Linked DNA regions of Rhinolophus ferrumequinum. The protein of the gene in region 1 interacts with the protein of each later gene in a pairwise test. Links are inferred from orthologs where the notes say so. Each region holds a gene or a part of one and is shown on either strand. Other genes may lie near its edges.

Region 1 (15,631 bases):
GCAGCTACACTGGCCTTTTGTCTTTTTTCCATACCATAGTACCCTTGCATAAGCTCGTCTTTATACGTAGACGTCTTCTCCTCCTCCTTGGTTCTCATCCTTCAGCTGTCAGCTCGAGCATATTTGTCTCAGAGAAGCCTTCCCTAACTCCTAGAATTGCTACTCAAAGTGAGTAGCTCCCACTTCACCTGGGAGCTTATTAGAAATGCAGCATTGCAGGCCTTTTCACCAGATCCCCAGGTGTACTACATTAGAGAACCACTTCTCTAAGAGATTCGATACCTAACAGATCCTTTATTCTCTAATCTCAGGTAAGGGCTGGAAAGGAGTGTCCTGTCAGTCCCAACCAGGAAATCCATTCCCTCTTCTCTCCACTGAAACACGCTTCTAATTTGTCTCCTGTTGAAAAATTTTCCAAATATGGAAACTCTTCTAAAGCGGTTAGCAGCCTCCCATCACTTCCCCTCCCCCAGCTCGTGTCAGCACCCCTTCAGGATTTACTTCAGTGCTGTCATAGCCAACATTCCTGGGGGATTTGTCTGTGTCTTTGTGTCTGTCCTGGAATTCTAGTCCCTTGACTTTATGTGCGCTGTTGACATGCGTTGTCTTGTTAGGTCCTCACAACCCTGTGAGACCATTATGATCGTCCTCATATCACAGACGAAACTGGGATTCCGAGGGACTGACAGGATTTACCCACAGACACAAAGGTACATGTGGTTCTGGGACTCGCACTGAGACCTCTGACTCTAATTCCAGGCTGACCTCTTAAAATTCTTTCTGGAAGACGATGGGGGATGGCCCATTATGTCTTGAACACATAGGGGTGAATTTTGGTGGCCCCAGATTCTGGAAATGAGTTTTGTTTTGAGAGTGAAATGAGGAACAAGAAACCCATAATGGAGGCAAATGCATAGGAGGTGCCAAGACACTAGGATTGTGACTGAAGTTTGAGGTGCCTCCAATCCAGTCACTGTGCCAGGGCAGCATCTTGGGAAACGGATTTGTGGCTTGGACTTCTTCCCTTGTGGCAAATGGCTGGAGCGATTCCCCATCCAAGCCATGGCTCATCTATTTCACCAAAGCCCTGAAGACTATGGACTTCTAACATACATTCATCTGCTCGTCAGCAACTCTAAAAGATGCTGTGTCCAGGAGGCTCAGCAGGAAGCCTGGGCAGGGGAGTTTCAGGGGTCAGACCCTCTTGGGTTAACCTAAGGAAGCGAGCACCAAGGCCAGCCAGCAGCACTCTCCAGCTGGCCAGAGCTATCCTGCAGCACAAAGCTGAAGATAGTTGGGGTGACCTCTGCAGCACAGCACCTTTTAAGGCTCTCGTGTGGCCTTAAATGGCCTCCACATGTCTCCTTTCTAATGACATCATTTGACAATGAGGTGTTGGAGGCCACAGGTCAGTAGTCAGTGTCTGTCTTCCTGGAATGCTGGTTCTCTCATCCTTGGGGTCTCAGCTCAGATATCACCTTCCAACCATCCTGTCTATAGTCTCCTTCCATGGTTTCTCCTCTCATCTGGTTAGTCCTTCGTATCACCCTGTTTATTTCCATTATCAGCAACTGACTGACTTGTTTATGTCCATTCCACCCCACAATGTATGTGCCTGGCACATCATGGGAGCTAAGAACCCGCAGAATGAATAGTTGTTGACGAAACAGCAAAATTTCACCCCAAATCCTAAAGGCACCCATCCTGTCCATAGTGTGTCCCATAGGTTTGGCCAAGGGGCACCAGACCCAACCCCAGGCTCCTAAGAAGCAGAGTCACGGAGCCAGACAGTACGGTTTATTGAGGTGCATGCCCAGTGCCAGAGGCCCAGCTCTCCCACATCCTGTGGAGAGGAGCCCCGGGCCTCTCCCAGACCTTCATATTCTGGGTGGTCATTGTCCTGCCCTCATTCTAACTAACAGTGAGGCACTGATGTTCTAGAGCCAAGAAACAGGACATGCAGGTGGCCCGGGTTTCAGCCACCTGATTCTCTGTGGGGCTGAGCTTCCAGAGGTGGGTGGCAGTGTAGTGACAAGACCCTCCACCCCAGGCTGAGGAAAGAGGAAGAGTCCTCCTGCTCCAGAGGACCTGGCACTTGCCCCTGACAAAACAGGGAATAATATTAAATAAAAATAATTTATACAAAATGGCTTGTACAAAAAGCTGCAGGGTAGGGGGTGGAGACGTCTCTGTGAGAGACGGAGATGACTGAAGGGGGGGATGGGGATCCCCACCTCTCCTAGTCCCTAAAAGAGCCTTCCAGTTGCCCAGTGTCTGGAGGGGTGTCTCTGGCAGGGAGGGGAGGGGCAGATTGGAACCCTCAGGGGGCGAGGCTTGTGAGCAGGTTGGTGAATTGCAGGGCATGCCCTGCCAGCTCTGCCACACACTGTGCCATCTCTTCGGTCGCAGGGCTGGATGGGTAGCCCAGGGCAGCTGCCTTGACAGCCAGCACAGTGGCCCGTAATGCCTGGCCCAACGCTGTACCTGCAGCCCCAACCTGAGCTCGGAGAGGGGTGGAGGCTGCCAGCCGGTTCAGGGTATCCCCAACAAATACCAGGCGGTGAGCGGCCACCACCACCCGCTTGCCATGGGGCACGAAAAGGCGTGGGGGCTGGTTGGCCCTGGTGCTGGACATCAGGGCTGCCACGGCTGCCCGCAGTGCTGAGTAATGGTTCTGGCACTGCCCTGCGTAGAAGTGCAGGAGCTGTAGATCTCCGGTGGGCAGAACCAGTGGCTCCCCTGGGGACAGGGCGTCCTGAGGGCAAAAGGAGTGGTCAGTGGGAAAGCTCTGTTAGTGTCACTCCTGCTCTCACTTCCTTCCTCCTCCCTTCTTTGTTCCTCAGTCCTTTCGTCCTAGTTCAATCCCTTTAGCTCTTATCTTTGCCCATCAGAAAATTTAGATCCTCATAGTGAGTGGCAGGAAAGTGCTCAGAGCTGGTGTCAGATACATCTGGATTCAAACAACCTCACACAAGTCTCTGAGCTTCTTTCCGTATCTCTACACTGGGGAATCGAAGTCCTGCACTGTTCAATATTAACAATGCAAATCACACGTGTGATTTGAACATTGCTAGTAGTCACGTCAAGAAGAGTAAAAAAAAAACTGGTGTATTTTAAAATCCCAAACCTAAAAATGTTGTAATTTCAACATATAATCAATATAAAAATTATTGAGATGTTTTTTCACACTAAGTCTAGAAATTCTCGTATGCATTTTACATTGCAGCACATTTCAGTTCAGACCAGCCACGTTTCAAGTACGCGATCGCCACGTGTCTGGCTAGTGGTTACCACATCGGCTAGCGCACGTCTAGTATCTGCCTCCTAAGGCTGCGGTGAAGATGAGTGTGAGTTGCTACAGTATATAGAAAGGGCTCAGAAGAGAGCATTGCACACTAAGCCCCGTAGGAGTACCAACTGGCTAGGATTAGTGTTGACGCACGCAATGTGCTTAGCACAGAGTCTGGCTCTTGGTGAATACCTGAAAAATGGTAGCGATTGTGATTAAAACCAGAGTCAAGGAGACCACCTCACTTTCCTGAGGCCCAGAGACATGAACTGGCCACGTTAGAGCCCCTGGTTTTTTCATGGTGGAGCCAGGATTAGGAGCCAGGTCTCTTAAAACCCAGGAAATCAGTTGGAAGGAGCCCCAGAAGTAACCTGGCCCAGCTCTCACCCACAGCCCAGAAACTTTCTGCTCCTCAATGCTCAGTTTTCTGATTCCTCTCCAACACATTCTTTCCCCTCTTTCTGAATTCCTGATATCCTTTTCTAAATTCCATCTCCTTCCTGTTGAATTTTAACTCCTGTCTACTCCAACTGTTCCACTTCACTGAACTTTCACCCCATCCTAATGTAGTTCTCTTGATGGTTCAGTTAATACTCTCTTCCATGTTCCTGCTCCTCCTTCCCCGGTCCCCCTTCTCTAGTACCACCACCACAGGGTTACCTGCTGCTCCGGTGGCCCCCTCTCCAGCAGTTCAGGACCATCTGGGAAGGCCTTATCCAAGGGCCTAGATCCCTGAGTTTTATCCATGCCCTGCAAGAAGGGGTCAGAGTCTCAGGCAGGGATTGGGTAGCCTTCCTGGCCCTCCCCACTCCCCCTTCCTCCCTGAGGTCTCTCCTGCCATCAGAGGTTGCAGTTCCTGGACTCCAGGTCTGGGAGAGCTCTGGTGGCGAGTCAGAGGGCTCAGGGATCCCAGCCTGGGTTTAGGGGGGGATGTGGTACTGGTACAAGTGTGGCCAAGTACTGGAGTCCCAGGCCAGAGGAAGGGAAGGAAGGCGAGTCCGTGTGTGGGCCCAGGCCTCCTCACGCCCCCCCAGTTCTCCAGGGACTATTACCTCCTGCTCATGTCCTGGTCATGTTACCTCCTGCTCAAAACCCAGGGGCACCTCGGGAGGGGCTGGCTGGAGGTGAGCTCACCTTCAGGTGGACATAGTCGTACTCCTCAGACATCGGGATGCCCTCATACTCATTGTGGTGTCCTGCTGGATCGTCCTCCAACTCTCCGCCCTCTGAATCCCCCTCAACCTTAGGGGTTCCATAGCCAGGCAGGCGGGGTGGGGGTGGGGGCAGAGGCCTGTCCTGGATGCTGCCCTTCCGGCCTGGAGCAGGAGAGGGGGCCGGGGAAGGGCTGGGGGCCTCAGGGATAGGCAGGGCAGGCAGAGGGCGGCGGGACAGGCTCTCAGCCGAGGGCAACCGGGGCCTGTGTGAGGGTGGAGGACTTCTGGCCAGGAGCAGGGCCAGGGAGTCCGCATCATTGGAGGCCAAGGCTCCCAGGGGTTCTGGAGAAGGGGGTGTCTCTGGCCCCAGTAGGGGCACGTCGTAGATGCCTTCGTCAGTGTCCCCACCTTCCCCATCTGCTTGCAGTTCCTCAGGTGCTTCATACAGGTTGAGCAGGGCTGATGCCCGTTTCAGGTTGGAAGGGGCAGCGTAGAGGGGGGGACCTGGTTCTCGGCCCCCCTCCCACTCCAGATCTGGCTCCAGCTCTGATGGTGGCTTCGGGGCCAGAGGCACGTCATAGGGAGCTTCGTCTTCTCCAGGGGGCTGTGGGGCGACCCGGGCCAGAGGGCGGGAAAAGGAGGCAGGGGAGTCATAAGGGCCACTGGAAGGAACTCGGAGGGCAGCGGGGGGCACATCATAGACCTGGAGAGGGAGCAGCTAGTTACTCTCAGCAATTGACTCCCTCCCTCCACAGCTGTCTATTCCCAGCCCGACATACACAGACCTCTAGCCCTCACCTCCAAGGCGTCTCCAGAGGCAGCCAGTTGAGTCCCACCGCCTCTGGGAACCTTGTAGATGGGGTCAGGGGAAGGTGGGCAGGAAGGTGATCCTGAGGTCAGACAGGGACGAGCTGGGGGTGGCACCACATACACCTGGGGGATCAAGACGGGTGGGTGGGTCAGGAGTGGGGACCAGGGAATCAGGTCACGTGTGTGCCTTGGAGGAGTGTAGACACTTTCCAACCTCCTCCCTGTCCCACGGGGAACTAGAACCCAGAAAAGGTTGACAGGCTTCTTAGAGCAGAGCCCTGAAGAACTGCGTGTGGTCTCAGGGCTCTCCCTGCCCCGGGGTTGGGAGGGCTCCAGCTCTCACCTCCTGGTCCTCATTGCTGCGCTCTGGGGCTGGATATGGTGAGCCAGGCTCGGCTGGGGGCACCTGGGAGAGGCTGGGCTTGGGTGCTGGGCCAGGAGGAAGGAGCTTCACTCTGTTGGCAGGCACTATGCCCTGCTGGCCGTGCAGGGAGCAGAGGCACCAGCCGTTCAGCCCACCAGCGCCCTCCCTCTGCAGTACCCGTAGAACATCCCCTCGGCGGAAGGACAGCTCCTGGGGGGACTCGGCCGTGTTGTCGTAGAGTGCCCGGGCCAGCTGGGCCTGGTGGGTGAGGTGGGAGTGGGGAGAGGGTCTTCATACACATACCAGGTCATGTTACCTCCTGCTCAAAACCCTTTAGAGCTCCCATTTCCTTCAAGCTAAGAATCTGACCTCCTGACTCAGACCTTCCTCACTGGGCTCTGCCGTGTCTCCAGCTTCATTCCCTGGACTTCCCTCTTCCTTTCTATTCCTTGAACTAGACAAGCTCTTTCCCACCTCAGGGCCTTGGCACTTGCTGTTAAGAGGTCTTTTCTTCACTTTTTTCCTACCCCATTCTGTGTCTGTGTCCACTCATTGTTTCCTTCATAATACTTTATAATATTTGTCTATTTATTTGTATTATCGATTTCTTCCCTTATACTGTAAGCCCTGTGAGAACAGGGACTCCTATATTCCTTAGCCTCTGCAATAAGGCCTGACCTGGAATCAGTCCTCAATAAACATGTGCTGAATGAATTTCCTCCAAAGCCTTGCATACACAAGGAAGTCCTGCTAAGGTCTCCCACAGAATGTCCTTTACCTCCCGTTTCCCATCAACATCCCCCACAAACAAAAGGTTAGATGAAGCAGCTGCAGAGACCCCTCATTCTGAGAGGGACTGGGACTGGCTCAGCCCAGACAGTGCCTAGGCATAAAAAGGAGGAAAACGGAAACCGAAGCAATTGTTTTATTCTCAGTCTGAGCAAATAAGGTTCTCAGAAGAGGCTGAGGTTACCATGGAGAAATGGAAAAAGTACACACTCGTGTGTGTGTGTGTGTGTGTGTGTGTGTGTGTGTGTAAGGGGCTGGTGGACCAACCAAGAGCAAGCATTTATCAGCCTGTTTCCAGTCCTCTCTGGTGGGACATCTAAACTTTTCCTTTGAAGATCCACACACTCAGGTAGTAAGTCACAGATACTAAGTGCAAATTACGTATCCAGACACTTTGAAAGTTTTTGCTCTAATCATCTCATCTCATTTAATCCTCACAGCAACCTAAGGAGGGAGGAGCCGTCATTATCCCCATCTGGGAAGGAAACTGAAACAGAGAGGCTAGTACACTGCCCAACGACATACAACTGGTGCAGCTGGGAACATATGTGAACCCCTGGCTGCTTGATCCTAGGGCCTGCACTCTTAATCACTCCTCTACTGCCTCTCCATAATCACAAACACATGGATCTACCTTTTCCTTCTTATATTAGGAGCACAGGTTAAGTCAAGAAGGTCCATGACTCAAACATGACTCAAACGCATATAAAGTCTTCATTATACCCAATTTCCCTTTGCTAGTCACCCTTCATAGGGCTCTGGTTCCACAATGTCCTTTGGTAGAATCAAGCTTAAACCACTCAGGATATCAAAATATATTCTGCTTCAGTTTTTGCTAAATGACTGCAGCTGCAGGCAGGATCCCAGGCAATGATGGCTCACACAGTGGTGGTGGAGAAAGGGAGTTAAGCATTACTGAGCAGGTGATCCATCGGGGCTAATTCAGTAAAAAATCTCAAGCTAAAGATCTCTGGCAGGTTGTATTTGGCCCCCGGGCCATGGGGAGAAGGATGCCCTGCTCAGCCAGCATGAGTGCATGTTTCTCTTGGCTGGTGTTTCCCTCAGGTGGAGAGGTTGGCAGCCCTTCATCACTGGGTGATTTCAACAGCAAACTGACTTCTCCTCTTGCCTGATTCCAAACTTATCAAACCATTTTCTGATTATGTTGGTTTCTAAAGGATGTTGTCCCATAGAAAGAAAACATGCTAACCAGGTGATACAAATTCCTGGTTAGCGTGGCACTTTTCTTTCTAATTATAAATTTTCAATTGATGTTTTGGATTTAGCCAAGGGTTAAGAGCACAGTTCTGAGGCAGACAGAACTGGTTTTGAGCCTTGGCTCTATCCCTTTCTACCTGGGTGGCTATGGGCAGGTTGTCAAACCTTTCGGAGCCTCAGTTTCCTCCTTTGTAGAATTCTATGTCCATATCCAAATATCTATTTTTGGATAAAATAGTACTATCCTCACAGGAATGTTGTGAAGGTTGGATGAGATAATGTGTCAAACAACCAGGACAAACCAGGACAAAGCTTAGGGCCAGTAAATGTTCAATAAATACTAGCTGTTATCAGGATCCTGTAAGTTTGACGATCATAAATACCAGCCCTCCCCCCCCACCCCACACACCTCTGGGTAAAAAGAAAAATCTTCCTCCTGGGACTACAGTTGACCAGCTTCTTCCCTCCCCTCTCCTGGCTCTGAAAACTATGATGATTTTTCTCACCATCATACAGATGGAGGAACTAAAAGGAATTTGGTTTGAACAGTGAAACTTGAACTTATCCTAGAAGGAAATGGGAGGACGTGAAGAACCATGCTTCTCTTTCCGGCCTCACAATCCTCCTGCCCAGAGTACCCATTCAGAGGGGACCAGAAAGCAGGTGGCAGCCTGGCTTTCCCTGGGAATCCTAGGGCCTAGGGAAGGTGGAAAAGGGGACAGAGTTGCTTGGAGTGCAAGACAGAAAGCAGAGGCGGGGCTGAGGACAGCTCCTCCCAGTGCTAGGTTTGAATTCTGTCCAATGGGGCCAAACCTCTGGGCCTTGCAGTTGTGGGGAACCCAGGCCAGAGCTGCTGATAACCTGATTGATGATGGGTGTAGCCACCTCTATCCCCTCCTCAGGGACCTGGCTGACTAGTGAGGGAGGGGCTGACTTAATGGGGGGTGGCAGCGGACCACAGCATACTCCGGGAGGCCTCCTCCCACTGTCCCATCATGCCAGCTGTCTCCTCCCTTTGTCCCCAGTCCCCAGAAAGTGGCCAGAGGCTGGCTGACATCACCTCCCTTCCTCCCTCTATTTTCTCTTTCTCCCTGCCCGATCTCCCGCTTTTGCTTCGTTTCCCCCCTTTCCTCCATCCCTCCTCTACAGAAGGGCCTCCTTGGGCCCTCCAGCCTCTCCCATTTTCCCGGAGCCACCTCCATTCTTTCAGCCCCCTCCCAACCTTTTACTTGCCTCCCAATCACAAGCCCCTGCCAGCCACCAGTGGCCATCTGTTCCGCCCATAAAAGAGCAGATAAAACTCGGGCTAGACTTGCCCCCTTCCCTCCATCCCTGGGCAGCCTCTAGAAAGAAAAAGGGGAGAATGGGGAGAGGAGGGGGAAAAGGGGAACCTACACCCACAAGGAGCTAGGGATGAGCAGTGAGGAGAAAGGGAAACAGAAGTGAGAGAAAAGGGACAGCCTCCTGGAGAAGAAAGGGACCAAGGAGAGAGACAAAGAGACGGCAGAAATAAAAGTGACAGGAGTGCAGGGCAGCTGTGAAGGTCTCTGCCCCACAGCCTCCTTTCCCTGGTGGACTCACCGACGTGGCTACGGCCATGGCCCTGGCCTTCGGTGCGGCCTGCTCCAGGCCAGGCTCGGTTTCGCTGACTTCAGCAGCGGCTGCCCCGCACCATGGAGGCGGCCCACGGCTGCGGCGCCTGAGTCGTGGCCTCCGAGGACGAGGACGTTGGAGGAGGAGAAAGAAAACCCACAAAACTCCCCAAATGGGAGGCAGCTTGGTCGGGCAGGAGGAGGAGCAGGGCGGGCCGGGGCGTCGCTGCGGGACCTCATCCAAGGGCGCGAGCTCTGCACTGTCCCCACAGCCTCCCGGGGGCCGCCGGTTTGGCCAGGCCCCCGGAGATGCCTGCCCTAGGCCGCCGAGGCACCCCAGGTCCGCATGGACCTAAAGTTCCCTTCTAGGGCCGGGGCTGGCGGGGAGGCGGAAGCTAAGGCTGCGCTCGACGACTCAACAGGCCGCTCAAGACAGCCCTGAGGGCTGGGAGAAGCCGCCTGGGCGGTTAGGCTGGACAAGCGAGTTTAGGGGCCAACCCAACCCCACCCGGGGCCGAAGAGCGGGGATCCCAGGGCTGTGTTCGGGGCGATCCGGGTGCTGTAGCGGCCCCGCTGCCGGGGAGGGAGAGAGCTAGAACTGAGCCATCGGTCCCCCTTCAAACTCGCCCATCTTGGCGAAAGGAGGCCAGGCTTACACCAAAGGCCTGCGAGAGCGTGACCGTGGGGCTGCGTTGCCCGAGTGGCTGCTTTCCGCCCAGACACTCGCAACTTCTGGATGAGGCGGTTCGCACTCACTCACACTCGCTCTCAGCACCTCCGCGGTCTGGGGGCGCCGCGATAACACGCGGCCAGACTCGAAGGGGCGGGATGGCCTTCCACAGCCGCAGAGGGGCCCACCCGCCCTCCTCCGCTCCTCGGCCGCAGCGCGCAGGGCCACCCGCTCCAGCTCCCACCCTTGGTCCCCAGCACCCGGCGCAAGCGCGCCGCCCCTCTCACGCGCACCCTGGGCAGGGCCCCTCGGCGCTCCCAGGGCTCGAGGCAGTACCCAGGTATCTCTGGGAACCCAGAGAAAGGCCACAAAGCAAAAGGAGCAAAGAGAAAAAGGAAGGGCAGGGGCCTGGGGACTCGCCTGGTGGTGGGGTGGACACTAAGAGGGCTGGGAAGGCTCCGGGGGTCGCGCGTGGCCTTCAGGCTCACCCCCGCTGGCGGCGCCCTTTCCCTCCCCTTCCCAGGCTCCCGGACCCCTTTCAGGGCAGTTCCTTTCTCCTCCCCTCAGGCCCTCTCCGCTCCGGCTCGGGGCTCGGTCCTGGGGATTAAGAGAAAGGAGGGAGGGGAAAAGGGAGGGAAAGGGAAGGGGCGGAGGAGAAAGGAGGACGATCCCTCCAAAGGCGGGTGTTGAGTTTCAGCTCAGGACCCTCGGGCCACACTGCACGCCCCCTCCCGGCCCCTCTCCCTGGCTCCCTCTTCCCGACGTCGCGGTGGCCCTCCGGGTGGTCTGGTCAGCTCCCCGCTCGGAGCTCGCCTTTCCCCGCCACGCCCCCGCGCTCCCCCGCCAGCCCCGCGCCTCTCTCTGCCTCCCTTTCATTAGCCCTACATCTGTCTTTCCCGTGGGAGGGAGGGCGCTCCTTCCGCCTTGCTTGGGTCCTCAGCGGAGTCTCTCTTCTCTCTTGGCGTTGCCTTTGCAGGGGTGGCAAGGCTAGCCGCGGTTCCTGCGGGGAAGTGGGGCTGGACTGGAGTCGGGGGTCTGTCTGGGGCTGGACGTGGATTCTGGCCCTGGCGAGAGAACGTGAAGCCTAAGCGTCTGGTCCCAGAGCTGCAGGAGGGCGAGTTGTGCCGCCTCTTACACTCTTCTGCCAGTCTGGGCCTGTCCCTGGCCCTTGCCCTGGCACACTCCTGCTGCCACGAAGGGCAGGACTGAGGAGTGCAGGCACAAAAGGGCCAGCTTTCAGGAAAGCTGCGATCTGGCCTCCCAGGAGTTTCAGCTGAGAGGACCCGGCTTTGGGGTTCCCACCTCTCTCCTGCCATACAACTAACTACCCCTTAGTGTGTACACTGTCTCCCTCCAGTTACACCCCTCTCCTGGTTCTTCCTTTTGGGGCACACATCAAGGCCTGACAGTTGCTGGGGGGACAGAGGCCTTCCTTCTTCCGTTTTTGAGGTTCCTGGTATTTAAAAAGTGAGGTGCCAAAAAGGATTGAAAAGCTGTAGTCTATTTTCAATATTTACATTTAGCAAATTAACACTTTAAACTGTCAATGTAAGAAACGTCCAAACCTGTAGAGAATTTTTATGAGTTTGTTTGAGGCAGACTGAGGAAAACAAGATCTCAAACGCTCCAGAGAAAGACAGTTTTGCAGTTTCTTCTGTGCATTTGGAACTAAGGAGAGAAGGTAAGGCAGATTACAGGAAGGTAGAAGAAAGCAAAGTATAGGATAGTTAGCAAGATTATGTGCTCCCTTGAGGGTGCTTACGCCTTCCAGGGGTCTGGGAAAGATGATTACTTCTGGTGTTTCAAAGGTATGTTAACCTAGATGCACAAGAACAATGGGCAGGGCTTGCTTAAGGCAAAGGTAAACCTTTTACTAAAGAAGTTATATGCCTGGGGCGTGACCACCCACCATGATCTGCCCAGTTGGGAATTTAGGATTAGATCACCCTGTGAGACTATTTTCATTCACTGAACTTGTTGTACATAACTCCCTTTTGTCCACATAAAAAAAATAGACTCTATGTATAACTTCATTTGAGAATAACATCAAAAGTCTAATTTAAGGCCCTTTGTGGACTTCAGGCCTGGGACAGATAGATGCTCCCCTCTCCACATTCCACAGGCCCACGCATCCAAGCATTTTCCAGGAGGTGAGGTGAGAATACCTGCTTTGGCTCCTTCCCATCCTTATTGCCTGGGCACCTATGAAGAACCCTCTGCAGAGGGGAGGAGTGGAACCTACAGGTGGATAAGGGAGAGATTCTGGGGTAAACGTGGGGATGGACAATATTGGTGCTGGGTCTTGGCTCAGAGATGGAGTGCAGACCTGGGCGTGGGGCTGGAAATCCTGAACAGGATGGTAGGGGAATTTTTAAATTTTCAGATGCATCTGAAGGAAGAGCTCCCCCATCCCCGCTCCACCCTGGTCCAACTTCCAACAGACCCCAGGCCTGGGGGGACCTGGCTGTCTAGAACACAGACACTCAGGAGAGTGACAACATGGTCTCAGTCCAAGGGACTCCCAAGGCAAGCTGGGGCCCATGAAGGAGGTGATTAGGAAACCCAGCTCCCAAAGATGAACGCTCTGATTGGCACAGGGGAAATAGATGGAGGCCAGAAAAGGCTAAGCAGGAAGGAAGCTCTAGGACCAGGCAAAAGGGTTGTTTGCGAAGTGGGTCATGGGGCTCAGTGCCTGGGGAAATGTAGGTGAGGGCAGCAGAGTGCAAACCTGCCTGAAAGTGAGACTGTTTCTGGAGGGCCTGGGCACTGAATGGAGACAGACTCAGGAGTGAATCCTGGTTTATTAAGCTGTGTGACCTTGGTCAGGTTATATATCATCTCTGAGGTTCCTCATCTGTAACAGTGACATTGGTGAAGAGTGAATATGTGCAAAGTGCCCAGCGCAGCGATCTCCCTCCACTTTTCCTCTTCACCTTGGCTCCCCCGACAATTTGTGCTTTTATGAAAGCTGAAAGGGTTTTTGTTTGTTTGTTTGTTTGTTTGTTTTTGCTGAGGGCAGGAGGAGCCTTTTCCCTGTTATTAAGCCTCATCCCTGCCCTCTCCTTTGCGGAGGTTTAAGGTGATTCTAACTTGTTCAGGGAGAGCTGTGGGCTCCAGGTAAAGTTGGAGGAAGCCCAGGTTAGGTGAGCAGCTAAGACCCTGGGTGAGGGGTGGGTGATGCCTCAGGCAGCCAGGCCCTCAGCTTTGTGGCTTGCCTTTGCTATATTCAGCAGTATAAAAGGAAGGAATTTCCCCATCGGGCTTTCTGGGTCCCAGTCTTCTCTCGCCTTCCCAGCAGGGCAAGCCAGCTGGTCTCTTCCTCATCCCCTCCCCATGACTTTCTTGACCTATTCTTGTTTCTCCTGCTACTCAAAACTTCTCAGGTGCTCACAGACTCTTCCAGTTCTCCCTTTGGAACCCCTCAGCATCCAGATTGCCTGGGTTCTAATCCTGGTTCCAACACTAGCTAGTGACCTTGGCAAGCTACATGACATCTTGGAGCCTCTGGTTTTCTGTTGGTACAGTGAGATAATAAGGGAACTGATAGCATCAGCTTGTTGTGAGGATTAAAAGAATCCTGAGGACAGTCCTGGCCCATGGTGTGTACATGTCGGATAAAAGCAACTCTTATTTGATGCCAGCCCTGGGGGTAGCATAATATCAAGGACTAGGTACTCATGCTTGGGAAACTCACATCAAGTAGATATTGTCTGAATCCAGTCAATGCCTCCCCACAGACCTTGAAATAAAATCCAAATGCTTCACCACAGCCTGTGGGCTGGAACCCTATGTGATCTGGTCTCTGCCCAACTCTTCCGCCTCATCACATCCCACTCTTTCCCTCATCCTTTGTTTTCCATCCACACTGTCTTTTCTGTTCCTCAGATATGCCCAGCTCTTTCCCACCTCTCGGATTTTGCATGTCTGTCTTCCACCGCCTGGACCACTCATCCCCCAGACCCTCCCCATCCTTATGTCAAATTCTGAGTGCTCAGAAAGGCCTTCCCTGACTTTCCAAGTTAAAGCAGCTCCCCTCCCCCCATAACTCCCTATCTCATAACACTGTTTCATTTTCTTCATAGCACTTATTATTATTATCAGAAATTATCTCGTTTCCTTGTTTATCATCTGTCTCCTAAGACAGAGGCTTCGCGAGGGAGGGACTTTATCTGGCTTGTCCTTCTCTGCATTCCTAGCATTTAGAAGAGTGCCTGGTGTATAATAGGTGCTCAATAAATATTTGGCAAATGGATGAATGAACAGGGGCAGCCATGACTGTAGGACAAAGCTGAGTAAGGCATGGGACCTCTGTGGGGAGCCACCAGCACTGGGCTGAGGAGGGAGTTATGGAGTGTCTAGTCCTGTGCGCTCTGATTCCCCAGTGTTGTCTCCCAAGCTAGACTGGGCTCTCTGTGTGTGAAGGCGTGCTCCTGAGCCTCAGCATTTTAGTAACTAAAGGTGACACTAAAAATCATTAGCAACCAGTATCATTCTCACCTACCAATCAGGACATGGGAGCTATGTTCTGGAGGCCCCTATCTGAGCAAGCCTTAGTTGCGGGATCACAGGGAGGTTGTGGCAGGGGTGCCCCAGGGCTTAGGATATCATCTACTGACCAGCAAGGGCAGACGTATTTCAACATTTTAACCCTCAGTGCCCCACCTCACATCACGTGAGTGCACATGAGTTTCAGTGAACTCCGCTGAATTCAGGAGCTGAGGTCTAGAGCAGCTAAGCTGGTTGGTGCTTTTGTGGCCATCCAGGTTAACCTCCCTCTGCCCCCCACCTCCAACACATGCACACTTCTACAAAGAAGGAGAAAGAACCCAGAGAGGGCCCAAGGTCACGAGCTGATCAAAGGCAGGGTCAGGACTTCAAGGTAGCAGGTGAGGATTTGAATGTCTTTCTGAGGAAGGGCAGGACAGCCATCGTCTAGCCTTCTGCAAACCCCAAGAGCATTTCTTGGCCAAGGGTGAGGATGTATGCCGTCACCTCTTCCCTTCCCTTTCCTGTCAGATGTGATCTCTCTTCCCAGGGGCACAAGGGTGGGACTCCCAGCAGGTCCCCTCTGGCTGCCAGGTCAGGCCTTGGCAGGTGAGGGCACATTGGGAGGCACCCTTGATGTTAGGTGCTGGGCAAACTTTCCTTTGGTCCCACCTCCAGCATTCTCCCCATTGCCACCCCCATCTCGCCACACCTCCAAGGATTCCCTGGAAGCTGAAGTGACTCAGGGATTCCAAAACTAGTCACCCAGGAGGAGAACCCTCTGGAAAATATTTCTCATGACAGGCAGTCACCCTAAGGAGTCCCACCGAGATGCTAGTGAGACATGTGCACAGGCTGAGCAAGCCAGAGCGGAGCGGGGGCGTGTGGCTCAGAGCACAGGTTCCGTCTGGCCTGAGCAGCACTGGGGGGCACTGTGCTTGGAGGGGCCCTCCCGCTGCCTGTCAGGGCTTTTCTCAGAGGAGGTCCTGGTACAGGCAAGGATCACTCCAGGGGCCTTTCCTGAAAGTCAATGTGGGTCCTTTGCAGCATCAGCAAGTAAAACAGGTAGCTAGGATCACTTCAGATCTTTCCAGCGCCCCCTCCTGGATGGGGGTGGGGTAGGGGCAAGATCAGGAGGTCTGTCTGGGCCAAGGTCAGGCTCAGGCTCTGATTAGTTTGGTCTAGACCCATAGGGATCTAGCTCTTCTGGAAGAGCACTGCCCCTCAAAGGCTTTCCTAGGGTTGGTGTTTGCTCAGGAA
Region 2 (16,125 bases), on another chromosome or scaffold:
ATCAAGCTATTTCTGCTCGAGTCAAATGACTTTTCCCCCTTTGCTGCCTACCAAATTCTTACTCAGCATTCAAGATCCTACTTAAATTTTCCCTCTTCCGTGACTCCTTCTCAGCTTTCTCAAGCTCCTTGCCTTGCACTTCCCAGCTCTCTGATCTCACTTTGAGAATATCTCCTATCACGTGCTTTGTAATTTTTCTGTTTAAAGCAAGTTCACACACTTTTGGTAGGAAGGTAAACTGGTAGAACCTCTTTGGAGAGTAGTTTGGGAATGTCTATGAAAATGACAAGGCACATTACCCTCTAACAATACAACAATCCCACCAGGACTGTCCCCTGTGGATTTATTCACACAGGTAAGCAACAAGGCTGTTATAACACTATTTGTTGTAACAAAAGAGTGGAAACAATCTAAATGCTTATTAATATGGGTTTGGTTAAATAAACACAGTAGAGTACCATGTGGTTGTTCAAAAGAACCAGGAAACTCTCTCAATACTGATATCTGAAATTTTTTCCCCAAACTCCTTTAATTTGTTTGATAGAGAATTTTTGTTTTTTCTAGCTTTGCGGTATGGTTGACAAATTGATAGAGAATCTTGACTTAACTAACATCAGGCCACTGAAAGGAGGTCTCTCTGTCTCTGATTCTCTGTCTCTCTCTGATATATTTTGTTTTCCCTGGGCATCAAGCAAATGGGGACAACTTTGGCAATGGTTTTCATCAGACATGAGGTATGAGGTAAAGGGGATCAAAATCTGCTACCCCAAAATATGCCACTTTGGCATAAGAATTTTGAGCTGAAGGCAACTGAGAAAAAGCAGACACAGGAAGAACTCATTGCCCTCTCCCTATCTGCCTAAAAGCAGGGCATAAACTCCCCTTGTGAAAGTATACCTCCTAACATGCCCACCCCCGCTATGTAAGAAAGAGGACAACAACTCTTACTACAGGAGATGAAAATGATACCTAGATAAGTCTATATAAACAAACCTTACTAAAATAACTCTTATCTTCTATTAGTTTCACCATACATTTACCTTCCCACAATTCACTCCCCCTAGAAGCCCATTTCCTTTGTCTGGTCCCTTCTCCACAATGTATCACCCTTTGTTAAAATGATATATAAGCTTTCAAGTCTAACCACTTCTTTGGGTTTTCACTTCTTTTCTGTATATCCCTTGTACACATAAAATTAAAAACATCAATTAAATTTGTATGACTTTTTCTCCTGTCAATCTGGGTCTGTTGTTTGTTTTGTTTTGGTTTGGTTTTTGGTTAGTTTAATTCACAGGACCCCGACAGAATCTAAAAGGGTAGATAAAAAGTCTCCTCTTCCCTTACAGAGACATGTCAGAAAAGCTAGTTACTAGTCACAATGAAGTCAAGCAGTGGTAACGTTGAAAACGTAAAAGGGAAGGACCTCATTATTTCCAAAAGGAACGCTGATGGACACTGCTCCAGCCTTTGCTACTTCATAATGAAGCTACAAGACGTGCCCAATCAGTCCTCCCCACCTTCTTCCAGACAAAGACTTTACTATGTATCAAGACTTTTTATGTATCTGTCATACACAAAAAGTTTAGTTGCTATGCAGTTACAAAGAAATAAAAGATTATGCTACTCTCAATAAGTGTCTAATAGTCAATACAGATCTAATGAAAGAGGAGAGTTATGCAAAGTACATGCAAAACTACAACTGTTTAAGTTAATGAAGGTGACTGCCCAAATAAAGTTCATCCAACCTAATAGAATCCTCACAGGTTTCTCTGCGCAAAACACACTGACTCTAGTTAAGGCTCATGTTCCATTCCCGGGTCATACCAACCACTTTCTACCTTTGAGACCTCAAGTAGTTTTCTTAACCTTACCAAGTCCTACTTCATCCATAAAAATGGGGATATTAGGATCCACCTTTTAGGGCAGTTAGAGTAATTAAATGAGATGCAGCATTTAAAGTTCTTGGCTCAGTGCCTGACACTTATTTAGGGTCAAATAAATGCCAACTAGTACTATCATCATCATTTTGTAATTTTCAAGATGTTTTTCAAACTTTATAAATGGAGCCCCACTGACTAATTCATTTATTCAGAGGGAAAAATTACACAAAAATTCAAATCGTCTCAGATGAAGACCTTTTTATTCTCAAAGGTGTTATATAAGCAGCGTATGTATGACATCTTTGAAGTTTATGATGTTTTTACTGTGTATACAAAAGAACCCAAAACACTGACATTTGCATCTTCAAAGTACCATGAATTTATTTTCACAAGAATTTATATTTCACAAGAAATATTTATGCTGTTTTACTTTCATCACCAAAATCAATAAGCCATTTAAAAGAATTGGTCCAGATCAGACATCAGGCTTCCAACTACAGTGGAGGGTTATCAAATCTGTTTAGAATGCAATAATTCTAATCTAAATCTCATTCAGTATCATTTAGTGAATCTTATATCAAGTCTCAGAATAAAGCCACTTTTTAAAAAAGTATTTGTGAGAACATAATTTGTTTTCTACACTCCAACAGACCAGGTGGGTTCACCCTAATTGAACTGCAAGGCTTTGGAGGGTGGCTGAAAGGAACAGAAGGGCTATGTGTGTAGAGCTGAGAGGCTGGACTAGTTCAGCAGAAGGTAAGGAGGGTTCCATAAAGAATGAGCTAAAGACCACAAAATTGTGACACAACCGACAGAGTACCATGGTGACATATCTAACAATTAGAGGGCAGAATTTCAATGACCAACCTTGAATGGCCAGAAATGACCCTACAAAAGAAGAAAAAAATCAGTAACCAAGGAAAGGTTAAAATATGATAGAACCGATTTTTCAAGCTGAACACAGGCAATACTACACAGACTATAGGAAACATATGCCACCAACAGCAAGGCACTTAAAACTGAAACTGAGACACCATTCTGAGGATAATTCACTGAAATTCAATAGATTTTTTTTTTTGAATAAAATAGATTTGAAGAAGAAGAAAAAAATATCCTGAGGAAACAGTGGTTATCACTAGATGATAAAGTAGGAATGGTTTTTATATATATTTTTATATATTTATTATTTTTCTATACTGCAACTTCCTAAATTTTCTATAATAAAAATATTATTTTATTTTTAATTATAATACAAGGTTTTTTTCAATAGGTAAGATCAGCCATCCAATTGTAGAAATAGGACAATCTAAGATATTATCTGTAGATACATAAATTCCCCCACCCCCTTTAGACTGAAGACACTCATGGCTGAGACCTTACTTCAGTGTTGCTTGGAACCCCGGTGTCTAACACAGGGCCTAAACTACAAGGGGCACGTATTAAGAAGTATTCAGCAAGTAAATTTTGATTGTGACCAGAATCCCAAACAAGGTGACCCCTGGTATAACCTCAGGAAGGAAATGAAGAGAATGCGAAGGAAATTAGGTTGGCAGAGCTTTCCCTCAAGCATCTGACCGGGCTTACCTAGGTAGCCTCCTTTGCAAAAAGGTCCCCTTGTGGGGTGCATGCCCATCACCCCGATAGCTACCTTAGCCCACATTATAGCTTACTGTCTCTTGCTATTAAAATCTTCCAGTAAGCCCTTTGTCCTGCCTAGCTCCCCTCCTTTTAGCGCTGCCTATGAATTGAGTCATGCTGTTCTGCCCAGATCTTGCTTCGCAGGAAGCTATAGGGACGACCACGATGATGTCCCACTTGTGTTCTTTGTAGAGATGACCAGTCCACTCCAACACTTCAAAGAGAACCATGGGAGAATCTCATCTCAGGGCTCAGTGCCATTAAAATCAGTCTTCTCCCAGCAAGTAATACATTGTAATTTTATGAACACTGGGAATTTGTAATTGAGCTTTTATCTCTCTGCTTAAAGCTGAGAGCCAAAACTACAGCCCTCCTTTAAGAATTCTGTAGGACCTTACCACATATGTATCTGAAAGCTAACTTTTCCTCCGATTTCCTCTTACTAGTTTTCCCTCCCTCAACACAACCGTGCTTTCTTTATCTGTTTTTACCCTCATTTGGGATGAGGCAGGATATAAATAAACGAAGAAACCAAAAATTAAATAAACCTCCCTACCCCCAATTCCAAGCTTGCTTCAGACATTTTCACCCATGTAGCTTGCCTGCAGGACAAGAGAGTAAAGCTCAGTACCACTCTCCTTGCTGCTACCAACCAGGCAGTGACTTTTATGTGCTTTTGTGATCATAAAGTCTGACTGAAGGCCAGAGGCACTTTCCTTTCTACTTCCTGCCCACCAGCTCTAAAATACACAAGACCGTGTGAATGGTTCACTGTGGGGTAAGGCTTCGTAGTTAAGAATCCAAATCCTGGAGCCAGACTACCTGGGTTCTAATAATCCTGCCTGCTCCTCCCCATCCATCTGCTGACCTTGGGCAAGTTATTCAATCTTTCTGTGCCTTGCCTTCATTTCCCGACCTGTACAATGGGAATAATAATGGTACTCACCTCACAGGGTTGTTGTAAGAAGTAAATGTGTTAATGAATTTAAAATGATTAGACCAGGACCTGGCACACAGTAAATGTGGGCCAGAACTCTAATAGGACAGTTCTGTTTTCAGTTAAACCAGGCCACACAAAGTTTCAAGTCTGACTGAAAGTAGTATTTCTCACCGTAAATTAGTAAATTGACAAAACGATTTCTATGGTGACCTTATTTGAGTTTGGATGTCATGTACAAATGAGGTGGACTCACAGCTCTCTCTAAACAGCAGTCATTTTCAACCATTTGCTCTCTGATTTGCTGAAAAGACGGAGAAAGCCGTAGTGTCAGACAACAAAAATGGTTCCTGGGAGCTTATACCCAACTGGTAACACCATGATCTTTAACCACATCTGTGTGTGCATGAGTACTCATATACACGAGTACTCATGTACACACTCGTGCACACACACATACACATCACTGTCAGTGCCCCTCCAGCCGCAGCACAGACACCACTTAATGTCTAGAGAGATGAAAAACCTCATGACATGCTTACTCTGTTTGGCTATCAAAGAACAACTCTGCTTTGCTGGATGCTTGAGGTTCTGATTTACATCTGAGTTTTGAAAGGGACCGCCTCCTACATATTTACTTAAAATGCAAATTCCTCATCAGATTCCACATGTAAAAAAGCACGGAGCCCAACTCAAACCACGCCCCATCTTTGCTTACAGCAGAGCCAAAATCCCAGCAATTTCCTCCACACCCCGCCCACCAAAATTGAAGTCCTCAGTGAATCACTGTTCCATATATGTGAGTATGTACATAATTTTCAAATAAAATGACTTGAAACTGAGAATGTATGAGGGCAAAAAAAGAAAACTGAAAAATCATGAAAGTTGTAGTATTTGACTAAAGTTTAGAAAAACCAAGGAAAAAAACCACTGAAACTCTATGCCTTGCAACCAAGGTTACTTCGAAATTTGATGTAAATGGATAAATTTCAGCCTTGCTGTACTAAAGTCACATGAGATTGGAAGAAAAAACCTGAGAGTATGTCAGGGCTGTTTATTTTCCATTCCCTACGTTTCCGCTAATTATCTACTAAAAGAACGCAAAGAGTTTGTTACAGTATTTCATTGAAATGCGTCAGTCCCCTTTAAGTTTTCGTGTCTCCCTATCACAGAAAATATTCTAAGAATAGAGTCAAAAATGAACCAAGACTATCGGCCCAGAAAATGGCTTTGAGGAACTTAGGAATCGCACCGTTTCCAGTTTAGCAGGCGAAATCCACTAGAAGAGTGGAGGCGCAGGACTGCGTAATAAAGTGACACTTCCGAATAGAAATAACCGAGATTGCTCTGCCGTAGCCTAGGTTCTTCTCGCCACTAAGTTTAGTACAGAGTTTTCTAAACGCGTTTCCCAAGATCCTGAGGTCAATTTCAAACGCTGTTCCTCTCAAAAGTCCCAAAGGAGACTCGCTCACCCACCCCACCCTGCAAGCAGCGCACTTCCCGTTTGCTCTGGCCGGTCAAGAACTCTAACTTGACAGATACACACTTGGGGGAAAAAAAAAAAAAAAAGAGGAAGTGGCTAAAAGACCATTTCAAGGCATTTATTTAATTTCTTTTTTAAAGGGAGATCAATGGCCCTGTCTTCCAGGAAAGCTTCAATGGGACGTAGCCATGACACCGGCTTGAAAGTGGCAGCGAATGTCAGTGTTGCAAAACTGAAGGAGACTCCTCTTTAAAAATAAACTTTTAAAAAATCCTCGAAATCCTCTTGCTATCCAAACGATTCCTTCCCTTTCGTGAACGCAACAAAGCTAACGACTCCCATTCTGATGGATCGGATCTCGACAGCGAGGCTCCGGGGCTGGGTACGTGCCTGGTCTGCACTGCCAAGTGGCATAGGAAGCGCAGGGCACCGAGGCGGTCAGGGGACCCGGCGAGCACCTCCCTTACCTGGTTTGACCGGTTTGGGTGGCGGCTTCGACATCTCGCTTCCTGGAGCAGCTGATCCTAAAGACCACGCACGAAAAGTCAACCCAACGCCCCGCCAACCGGCACCCCAAGTTTCTTTTTGTTTAGTCTGCAGTGGTGCGCCTTCAAGGACCTGCGCCCACCCTTGGCCGTCGCACCAGTGGACGCAGGCAGAGAGGCTCGGCGCAGTCCCGCCCCACCCCGCAGCCTCCCGAGGTGTCTAGAGCGCGCGACCCGGCCCACGAGGAAGTAGCCGCCGCTTTGCCAGCGCTAATTGGTTCCCTGGCTGGCAGCTGCGGCGCGGCGGGAGCGCGGGCGGCGCGCACGCCGGCGCGCGCGGTGGCGGAACCAGCGGGAGCCGAACCCGGACGCCGCGGGCTCGCGCCGGGGCCGTCCGGCCGCGCGCGCCCCCGACAGAAAAGGGCCAGACCCTGCCGTGGCGCGCGCGGGGGCCACGCTCACCGAAGCCCCCGCCCCGCCCAACTGGGGCTGGAGCTGGTCGTCGCGTCCGGCCCAGCTGAACCGATTTGCTACCTCTACGTAGACCGCCCCTGACCTGGGAGGGACGCAGGGGAAGGGGACTGTGGGCCCTCTAGGATAGCGAGCTGCTGGGTTGCGGCGGGTTAGTGACAGGGCGGCGCGCTTGGCCATCGCCTCTGCTTTGCTTGGGAGGACCCGGTGAGTACCTGCTGAGCCCGCCGCGCAGCCTCGCTGGGGCTTGGAGGTGTATCCCGAGTGTTAGCGCCGCTGGATCCCGAACCTGGTTGCATCTTGCAAGTCGTGTTTGGGACTCTTATAACCCTACATGGGCTGATACGGGCCTGCCAAGGAGGGCGTGTACTCGTGACTACTTAGTGCTTTACCGTCCCGCGATAATCCTTAAAATGGGAGTCTGCCTCCAAAAGATGGTACAGGTTGTGGGGAGAAGTCACCAGGGACAGGGTCACGTCTTGATCCCCACGGGAAAGGTCTTTTATTCCTCTAGTATTGGGGTTGACTAACTATGGCCTCCCTGCCTCCGGTTGTACGGCCTGCTAACCAAGAATGACTTTTACATTTTTATATGGCTGAAAATAAAAGAGTACCTTGTGGCATGTGAAAAATTATATAAAATTCCAATTTCAGTGTCCGCAAACACAGCCACACTCATTTGCTTATGTATTGTCTGTGGCCGCTTTCACTTCACAACAGCAGAGTCAAACAGCTGCTGGCAAAATGGAAAACATTTTCTACCTGGCACTTGACAGAAGTTTGCTGTCCCCTGACCTAGCAGATTGAATCTCCAATGGAGGCAAGGGCTGGAGTTATACTAGAAATGCAAAGTTCATAAGTTCGAAATAGCACAGTCAATGTTATAAACCAGTTGTATGTTTGGGGGAAGAAAAATTGAAATGAAAAAACTTTATACATGAGAGTCTCCATAAAATGAAGCTTCAGAAGTTTCTACTAAGGGTTAGTGAAAGATCGCGTGATTCCAAGGGAAAGGGACATGGTTGCATATTCCAGAAACTTTAACTTTGGGAGAGTTCCGTTTACCAAAAAGGGGCAAAGGTTAAACAATAGTAGGAAAAGACTTCCCTCTGGTGTGGAAGAAGATCATCGAAATATCCACTGAATAAAATAAATGAGTGAGAAGTCCTGAAAACATTTCACTCTGAAAAATATCAAACTGCTCTTTCAATGCATTGAAAAGCAGAACATTTCATTAGCATGTTGTCATCTGTCTTTGAGAACATTTGTGGTAGGGACTTGCTGTTTCCTTATAATCTGCTGATTCTGCACGTGTCACCTTGACCATTTTGCAATTTAGAATCCAAAATAGGCCAAGTGTAGTGGTGAAATACAAGAAATGTAATAAACACATACCAGCTGTAAAAAAAAAAAAAAAAGTACATATTTTACTTAGGGGAAAAAAGTATTTAAAATCATTAAAATTACTCATTTGGGGTTTGCTCTTGGATATCTTAGTCTGTTCTCCCCTATGAAGTGTTTTGTGCTGTTTAGGAAAGATTTGCACTAATTGGGAGAAGAAAGTACATAAATATCCCACGAGATTGGGAGTGGTATATATTCCGAGTAACTGGATGCCCTGGATTGATGAGGCTGGAAAGTCCAAATGGTTGTCTCTCTGGAGACATTCAGTGATTAAAGTATGTGGTTGTTCAAACTTGAGTTTGCTTCATGGAGTGTGCTGCTGCTTGTATTTGGAGCCTGGCAACTCTTGATTACAAGTTTTTTAAATGTGATTTTAAAATTGTTCTTAAAGAGGGCAGCAGGCAGTGAAGTAACAGAACGTGTGAAGGTGGACAATGCCAGGCCTGAACTGAGTGTTCACCTGAAGCTGACCCATGCATCCAACACTGTTTTGTAAATAAATTGGCCTCTGGGATTGCTACACCCACTTCTACCCCAGCCACTCATCCCAGCCACAGTTCTTGTTTCTGCTTCTTCCAGTTCCCCACCCCTCCCACTACATTGTCACCTGTTCATTGCTAATGGACTGTGCCCCACATTTACTCAAACACTGTCTTGGACAGGCTAAGACTGCTAACTAATATAGAACTGAGGGTGCCTGTTTTGGTAAAAAAAAATAATAATAATAAAAAAATAAAAATAAAAATTTGTATTTGACTGTGGGAGTTCCTTCCTGAGCCCAAGGGATTGTGTAAGTACGTTCTTGACTCTCCATGACTCCTGGTTTCTGAGTTGCTAGGTTTTCCACCCAAATAATCCCCTCAAGCGTATTTCCAGTGCCACAGCCACACTCGTTATTTACATGCTATGTAATTGATACAATATCCTCACGTGTTTGCACAGATGTGATGAGAAACACAGGGGAACAGTAGTCCTTGCCATTCAGTGTGCACAGCAAATATACACCCATCAATAATACATCACTAAGAGGATATCAATTACACTTGAGAACCTCACAAGCCAGCGCATGTGCAACATCCTTTCTTTGCTTTTGGTAATGAAGTGCTTTTGAATGGCTTGGGAAGAGGAGGTTAATTTGCTTGGTCTAGTTTCATTCCTGGCTTTTCCAAAACTTACTAGCTATGTGACCTTGGGTAAGTCACTCCATTTTCTGGGCCAGTTTCAACTTCTGCAAAATGAAGGGGTGGACTAAGTGACCTCTAAGGCTATACTTCCCTGGGTTTGAGAGTTTAATACGTTGACCGACTATCCAAAAATAATCAAGGTGGGGGCAAGGAACGACACAGTTTTATGTTTTGTGTTTTGTGTTTGTTTGTTTGTTTTGCCAAGTGAGGACATCAACCTACCACTATGTACTGCCAGCATGACTTCACAAGAGAAAGGACATTTATCACATTTATCATTTTTATCTAAAAATAAGAAAGGTACCATCTCAGGATAAATGGCAGTCTTCTCATCCCAAAAGAGGATAGTTGGCAGCTTTGCACTGAGTTACTAAAAATAAGAATAGGGTAAATTAAATTCAAAAATAGAAAAATTACAACTTAAAAATTTATTTTACAATATTCATTGTATGCCATTGTTCCTGTGATAAACTTTGGCAATTTGGGTGGAGGTACAGATTTTCAAAAATGCAACTCCAGGTAAAACTCAGATGCCTAACTTGTTCTGTTACTTTATTTTTATCATAGTGATTATTGAATTCTTGTCTCATATAGGCTTGTTAATGAAAGTGGAACTGAACCTTAAGCAGTTGCACTTAATTTGGAATATTCTGGATAAAAAGAAGCCCAGGAACAACAGCTCTCTCTCCACAGGTGCTTCCCTCCCCGCCCCCCCCACTCTCCCCACCCCCCCCACCCCCCACCACCCCACTTTCCCCAGGAGGAGCCTGGACAGAGGTCAGGGAGGGCTGCTGGGAGGCTCCAGCTCAAGGAGCCACTCACCCCACGCGGGCACACAACTTAGGTCCCTGGTCACCCAACTAGAGCAGCTTAATCAGAGGCAACTCTCAGGAACCACTGTTCTAAGTTTCCCTCCAGCTGAGCTTCTCCTTTTCATTTAAAGAGGTGAAAATGGTCTACTGGAATATCCACAGGAACTGCTTTGTTGAACCTTAGAGGGCCATGTGTGAAACTGCGGGCTACCCCTTATACCAGGGGTCAACAGACAATAGCCTGTGGCTGAAACCTGGCCCTCTGACTGAACTCCAGGCAATCACTTTCCTGATAGGGAACACTAACTTTGAAATCCACTTAGAGAAATGTTATCCCAATAAAAAAGGAATTCCATTCTTCTCATTAGTAGATATGAATTGCCAAAAAAAAGACTAAATTATTATTATGTTTTGACTTTGATCAAAAAAATTGTGAAAATTTGTTTCTCTCTTGTTATATAAATATCTGCTTAATAACCTTGATTTTGCCTCTTGGCCCACAAAGCCTCCGATATTTACTACCTGTTTCATTTCTGAAAAAGTTTATTTACCCTGGCCCTAGACCTAGGCTTCGGGATGAGGAAATGGCACCCTTAATGGGGTGCTAACTTCCTTTTGCCTATGACCAGCAGTTACTTCCTCCCCATTTCAGAAGGGAGAGAGGAGCTCTGCAGTTTCCCTCCATAGGGGTAATGGGTCATCTCCAAGTGATTGAATTATGCAGGTGACATATGACCTGCCTGAGTGCAGTATGAAACTCTGTAGTGTGCTGCGCGACCTAGCAACTCTTCCACGACCTTGAAAACAGACCTTCAAGGGTATATGCTTTGCCAAGGTACACTTTCAGTTCACTCGATTTGGGCTTATAGGCCCTGAGCACGCACCATCTGTTGGTACTTAGCAGGAGAGTGTGGCAGAGAGAAGCCAGTACAGGCATACCTCATTTTATTGTGCTTCACAGAGACTGCGTTTTTTACAAACTGTATGCAGGGCCCTCCACCAGCAAAAAGATTATGACTCCCTTTATTGCGGGATGGCCTGGAACCGAACCCACAATATTTCCAACGTATGCCTGCACAATATGAAGCTCTTCCATGGAATACGGATAATCCAGGGGTGGGGTAACCCAGAAATCACAGCCATCCTCCTCCTCAGCTGGCCCTTCTAATTTAGGACTCTTACCTCTTTCAACATCTGAATGACAAGCATTTGATTTTTCTTTTTTATTTTAGGAAGACGTGATTTTTGAGGCGAATTATGAACACATTTGTCATTGGAATTGGTGGGTGAGTAATTTTGCTACAAATAGCTGATCAAGACACTCAGGATGTCCAGACTGTGTTTTCAAGTGGACATGGTGGTGGAGGAGGAGATGCAATGAGGATCTCCTGAGTCCTGAAGAAGTGATCAGGCCACTGTCAAATGTAAAACAGTGGAGCTCTGGCTACATAAATACCAACAGTAGATGGGCGAGTTTCCTTATAAACAGAAAAATAGGAGCGTCAGTAAGCTAAGTTTGCCTACTTTATCATTTATTTTCTGGAACTGATACCAGAACCAAGGCCTGATCAGATGCTACCATGTTTCCCCGAAAATAAGACCTAACCAAAAAATAAGCCCTAGCATGATTTTTCAGGATGACATCCCCTGAACATAAGCCCTAATGTGTCTTATGGAGCAAACCTTAATACAAGACCCAGTCTTATTTTCGGGGAAATATAGTACTTTGGTTCAGAATGGTTTTATTCTCCATATGGCTGCTCCCCCATTGTGACATAGGAGAAAATCTATCAGTTCTTTCCTGTTTTGCCCAGCTTTGGACATACAGAAAATGGAACCACCTCACCTGACTGGTGTGATAAGCTAAAATGGACTTCCCATCCAGCCCCAAAGTGGAGAGAGATTAGGGGAAAAGAAACATCACAGAGGAGATATAAATTCATGATAGGTAGGCTTGTAATAAGCCACTCCTCCATTTTTCAACACTGTGCATTGAAACAAAACCACAATGACCATGTGCAGTTTTATATACTTGCATTAAAATGTGCTGCCTATATTCTGTGTTGCATATAAACCCTGTGAATATTGCGCCATAGACAAAACATTTCTTTGTTTCCAACTCAATAGTGGTATTAAATCTTGATATTATCCCGTTGACTTGCCCAGTAGTTGCCTTTCTCCTCGATCCTTCCCAGCTTATTTCTTATCATTTATTGCATTAGATCTACTTATGCCTATGGTTTTACCAACAGGAAAAAACCAGTATCTATAAAAGAAATAATTTATTCCTAGATATTCCATATTGTTTTAAATACCCTTTCTAAGATCATTTTTATATGTTTTTTAATGCATCTTTCTGTATTTTCAATTTTTCTTTTCTCTTTTTTGGTTCAGTGTGACAAATGGTGGGAAGACAACACTGGCTAAGAATTTGCAGAAACACCTCCCAAACTGCAGTGTCATATCTCAGGATGATTTCTTTAAGGTATCTATAAAACTTCTTAGATCACTTATTTAACACAAAAATGTTTTAATAGTAAAGTTAATTGAATTACATACAAAAAGCCTTTGCTGATAAAGCTTTTTGCAGTGAAGGTCGACCCAATGCAGTAGTGTTACGTGTCCAGTAGATGGCACCACTTATTGGTCTTGTTCTTTGAGTTAATTATTCTCATTCAAAGCATTTATTGAAGGTTTATTGCCTCTTCGTTCTATAATTGTATTATATTTGCACTGCACAGTTTTGATGGGTACTTTATCATTTTTTCAGCCAGAGTCTGAGATAGAGACAGATAAAAATGGATTTTTGCAGTATGATGGTAAGTAGATGAGCTTGTAAAACATTGTGCGCTGATGTTCTTTTTTTTTCCCCAAACCCAAATAACTTTGCTATCTATGAAGACAGTGTCAAAGTGTGTTTAAATATATTACTATACTTTAAGGCTGCTTTTGTAAAGGTTTCTGATTTTTGTTCAGATATCTAAAAAAATGAAATCATTTTCCCAGTTTTATGTTTGAAACTGAAAACACTGGAATAATACAGATTTTTCTTCTGAAGCTAGGGCAAGGTGGGTTCACTGGTACTCTAGTAATCCCTGCCGGGAATACATGACTAACTATACTCCTCTTCCTGACCCCCCAGCTTCACCTGGAGCAAACTCAAAGCACTCACCTTCTGAGCTTTCCCTCCCAGTAACCAAAGTGATACTGGGCACCTGGGTTTTTGTTTTTTTTTCCTTTTCTTTTCATTGCTCAAAAAGGATAGTGAATATTTTTCAGCTGGATTCACCTCACTTCCTTACCCAGTACTATGTTTAATGATCTTACCAACTTTTATAATTAACAAGATGATCATTGAGGTCTTGTACAAACCAGCAACCAAGACAATTCTCTTGAGGAGCCAGAAAATATGTTCTTTATTTTTAACTTTGATAACCTTGGAAGAAAAATGTTGTGCTGTCAGTTCTTACAGACACTTCATAGACTTAAGAGAGGCAAAGTCCTTGACTCACTGTCTGTTCTTGTGTCTTGAGCTGCAGCCAGGATATTTTTTTCTTCTCTTCCCTTCCTCTAAAGGTTAGTAAAGAAGACTATTACATGTGAAGCATGCACTGTACCACTGAACTACATCCCCCAGCCGGGGAGATTATTACAAAGTAAGAGTTAAGCAAGGAAAAATTGTTTTCAACAATTAACAGAATGATTCCTAATTTAAATGAGTTCTTACAGACTGATAAGAAAAACACCAATATTCCAACTGAAAAATGCCCAAGGATACGAACAAGCTATTCACAGAAGCAAACGGTTATTTGATAATGTGCAATACAAAGTCAACCTCAAAGGTAGTCAAAGAATCTTAACTTACTTTTGTCCCCACTTACCGAATAAACAGATTTTTAAAGCAATAATAATTATCTAATAATGGCACCGGCTCAACAGAACAAAAACTGTCACAGATGGGAGTATAATAAGTTGGTACAATCTTTCTAGAAAGGAGATTGAGCATATGTCCCAAAGACCTTAAACATTCATGCCATGTGTTCAAGTGTCCTCTTCCAGGAATCTGTCTTAAAGAAAAATTTGAACTTTTTATGTAACTGTGCAAATTTAAGGTAAGTCAAGTTAATGTTGAAATCTTTATGATAACCACCAAAACAATAGTTTTAAAATATACAGCTATGAAGTTTGTAAGTAGATGGCCTCATTAAAATATAGTTGATAAGTCAAAAGAAGTAAAAAACAGAACAAATCAAAAAATTCTGGGAAAATAGAAAACAATAGTAAGCTGATAGATTTAAACCAAATATATCAGTAGCTACATTAAGTTAAATGAACTAAAATACTCCAAATATTGTCAGACTGGATTTTTTTTTAAAAAAAAAGCCAACTACAAGCTCCTTACAAGAGATATATTTAAGTATTAGGACATAGAAAAGTAGATAGTAAAAGACTAGAAAAAGATAGTATACCATGCAAACACCTAATGAAAGAACACTGATGTAACTATCCTAATATCAGACAAAGTAAACTTTAAGGCAAAGAGTATTACTAGAGATAAAGAGAGATAAATGGATCAATTCAACAGGAAGATAAACAATCTAAAATTTGTATACACCTGATAACATAACTTCAAAATACAATAAGCAAAGATCAACAACACTAAGAGGACAAATAGGAGAAAATCTATAATTATTTTGGGTGATTTTAATAGTACTTCCTAAATAATTAATGGAATAAACGGGAAAAAATTATAAGGATCTATCAGATTTGAACAACACAATCAACAAAGTTGACCAAACTCCCAACAAGAGCAGAATATACATTTTCCCCCCTCAGGAACACGTGGAACATTGACCAAAAAACAAGGTACATAAAAGGCATGCAGCAAGTACTAATACATTTCAATGGATTCAAGTAATACAGAGACATCTTCCCATCACAGAGAACTGAATTAGAAATCACTAACTAAAGAGGAAATAGAAAAGTCCCAAGTATTTGAAAAATAATCGGTACCTTTTATTCTGAGTTTTAAAAAATTTTTCTTATGGAAAATTTTAAATATACAAAAGTTGACAGAAAAGTATAATGAATTCTCGTGAATCACCATCCAGCTTTAAAAATGATGAACTCTTGACCAATTATATTTCATCTGTACCCTCACTCAGTTTCTCCTTCTATATTATTTTGAAGCAAATCCCAGACATCATTGCATTTTATTTGAAGCAAAACACTTCTGTATACCCCATGGGTCAAAGAATAAATCACAATGAAAATTAGAAAATATTTTTAACTAAATAATAATGAAAATATATTAAAACTAATGGCATTTCTGGTTCCAGCCAAATGGATTGACAGTATTCCTTGCTATTCTTCCCTCTTACAACTAAAAAACCTAGGTGGAGTACAACAAACAGAGGAAGGCTCTGAAAGATGAAAGGAGGAGAGCAAATTAACTAGGGACTTCAGGACTTGAGGAGTAACATGGCTGCGAGTTCCCTGAGTTTTCTTTTTCCTCTCATATATCCTGGAAGGGGTGCTGGAAAAGTGTGCAACATAGAACCATCAATAGGTACGAAGAAACAAACAACAACAACAAAAAACAAGAAACCTGTTCTCTAGTCAAAGGACCAGAAAAAGGGTAACCTAGAAGAATAGAAAATTATTTTGATAATATTACCCTACTCAAGCCAAACACAAAAGGAAAAACCATCCTCCACTCATGGTATTATCAGGGCCAAGTGGGGAGCAACACTTCTGGACCCATCAGCACTAGCAGGGCAGGGTGAGTTGGCCCTGCATGCCATCCACAGAGGTCATGTCAAACAGTGAAC

Evidence for each region.
Region 2: the proteins of EFS (region 1) and OSTF1 interact in binary tests that used the Homo sapiens proteins (3 or more experiments, as listed by UniProt). The two-hybrid records come from large-scale screens. The link is inferred for Rhinolophus ferrumequinum from reciprocal best matches to the Homo sapiens genes EFS and OSTF1.

The regions. Positions count from the first base shown.
Region 1 is NC_046289.1:73,799,858-73,815,488, forward strand, and holds EFS (embryonal Fyn-associated substrate), read right to left. Parts: upstream 10,963-15,631; 5' UTR 9,224-10,962; coding exon 9,206-9,223; intron 5,876-9,205; coding exon 5,597-5,875; intron 5,377-5,596; coding exon 5,242-5,376; intron 5,147-5,241; coding exon 4,424-5,146; intron 4,040-4,423; coding exon 3,950-4,039; intron 2,756-3,949; coding exon 2,321-2,755; 3' UTR 1,783-2,320; downstream 1-1,782. UniProt on the Homo sapiens protein: Docking protein which plays a central coordinating role for tyrosine-kinase-based signaling related to cell adhesion. May serve as an activator of SRC and a downstream effector. Interacts with the SH3 domain of FYN and with CRK, SRC, and YES.
Region 2 is NC_046295.1:40,458,181-40,474,305, reverse strand, and holds the start of OSTF1 (osteoclast-stimulating factor 1), read right to left. Parts: upstream 6,640-16,125; 5' UTR 6,440-6,639; coding exon 6,406-6,439; intron 1-6,405. Other genes in the region: NMRK1 (nicotinamide riboside kinase 1), read left to right, coding at 11,552-11,580, 12,689-12,779, 13,065-13,113.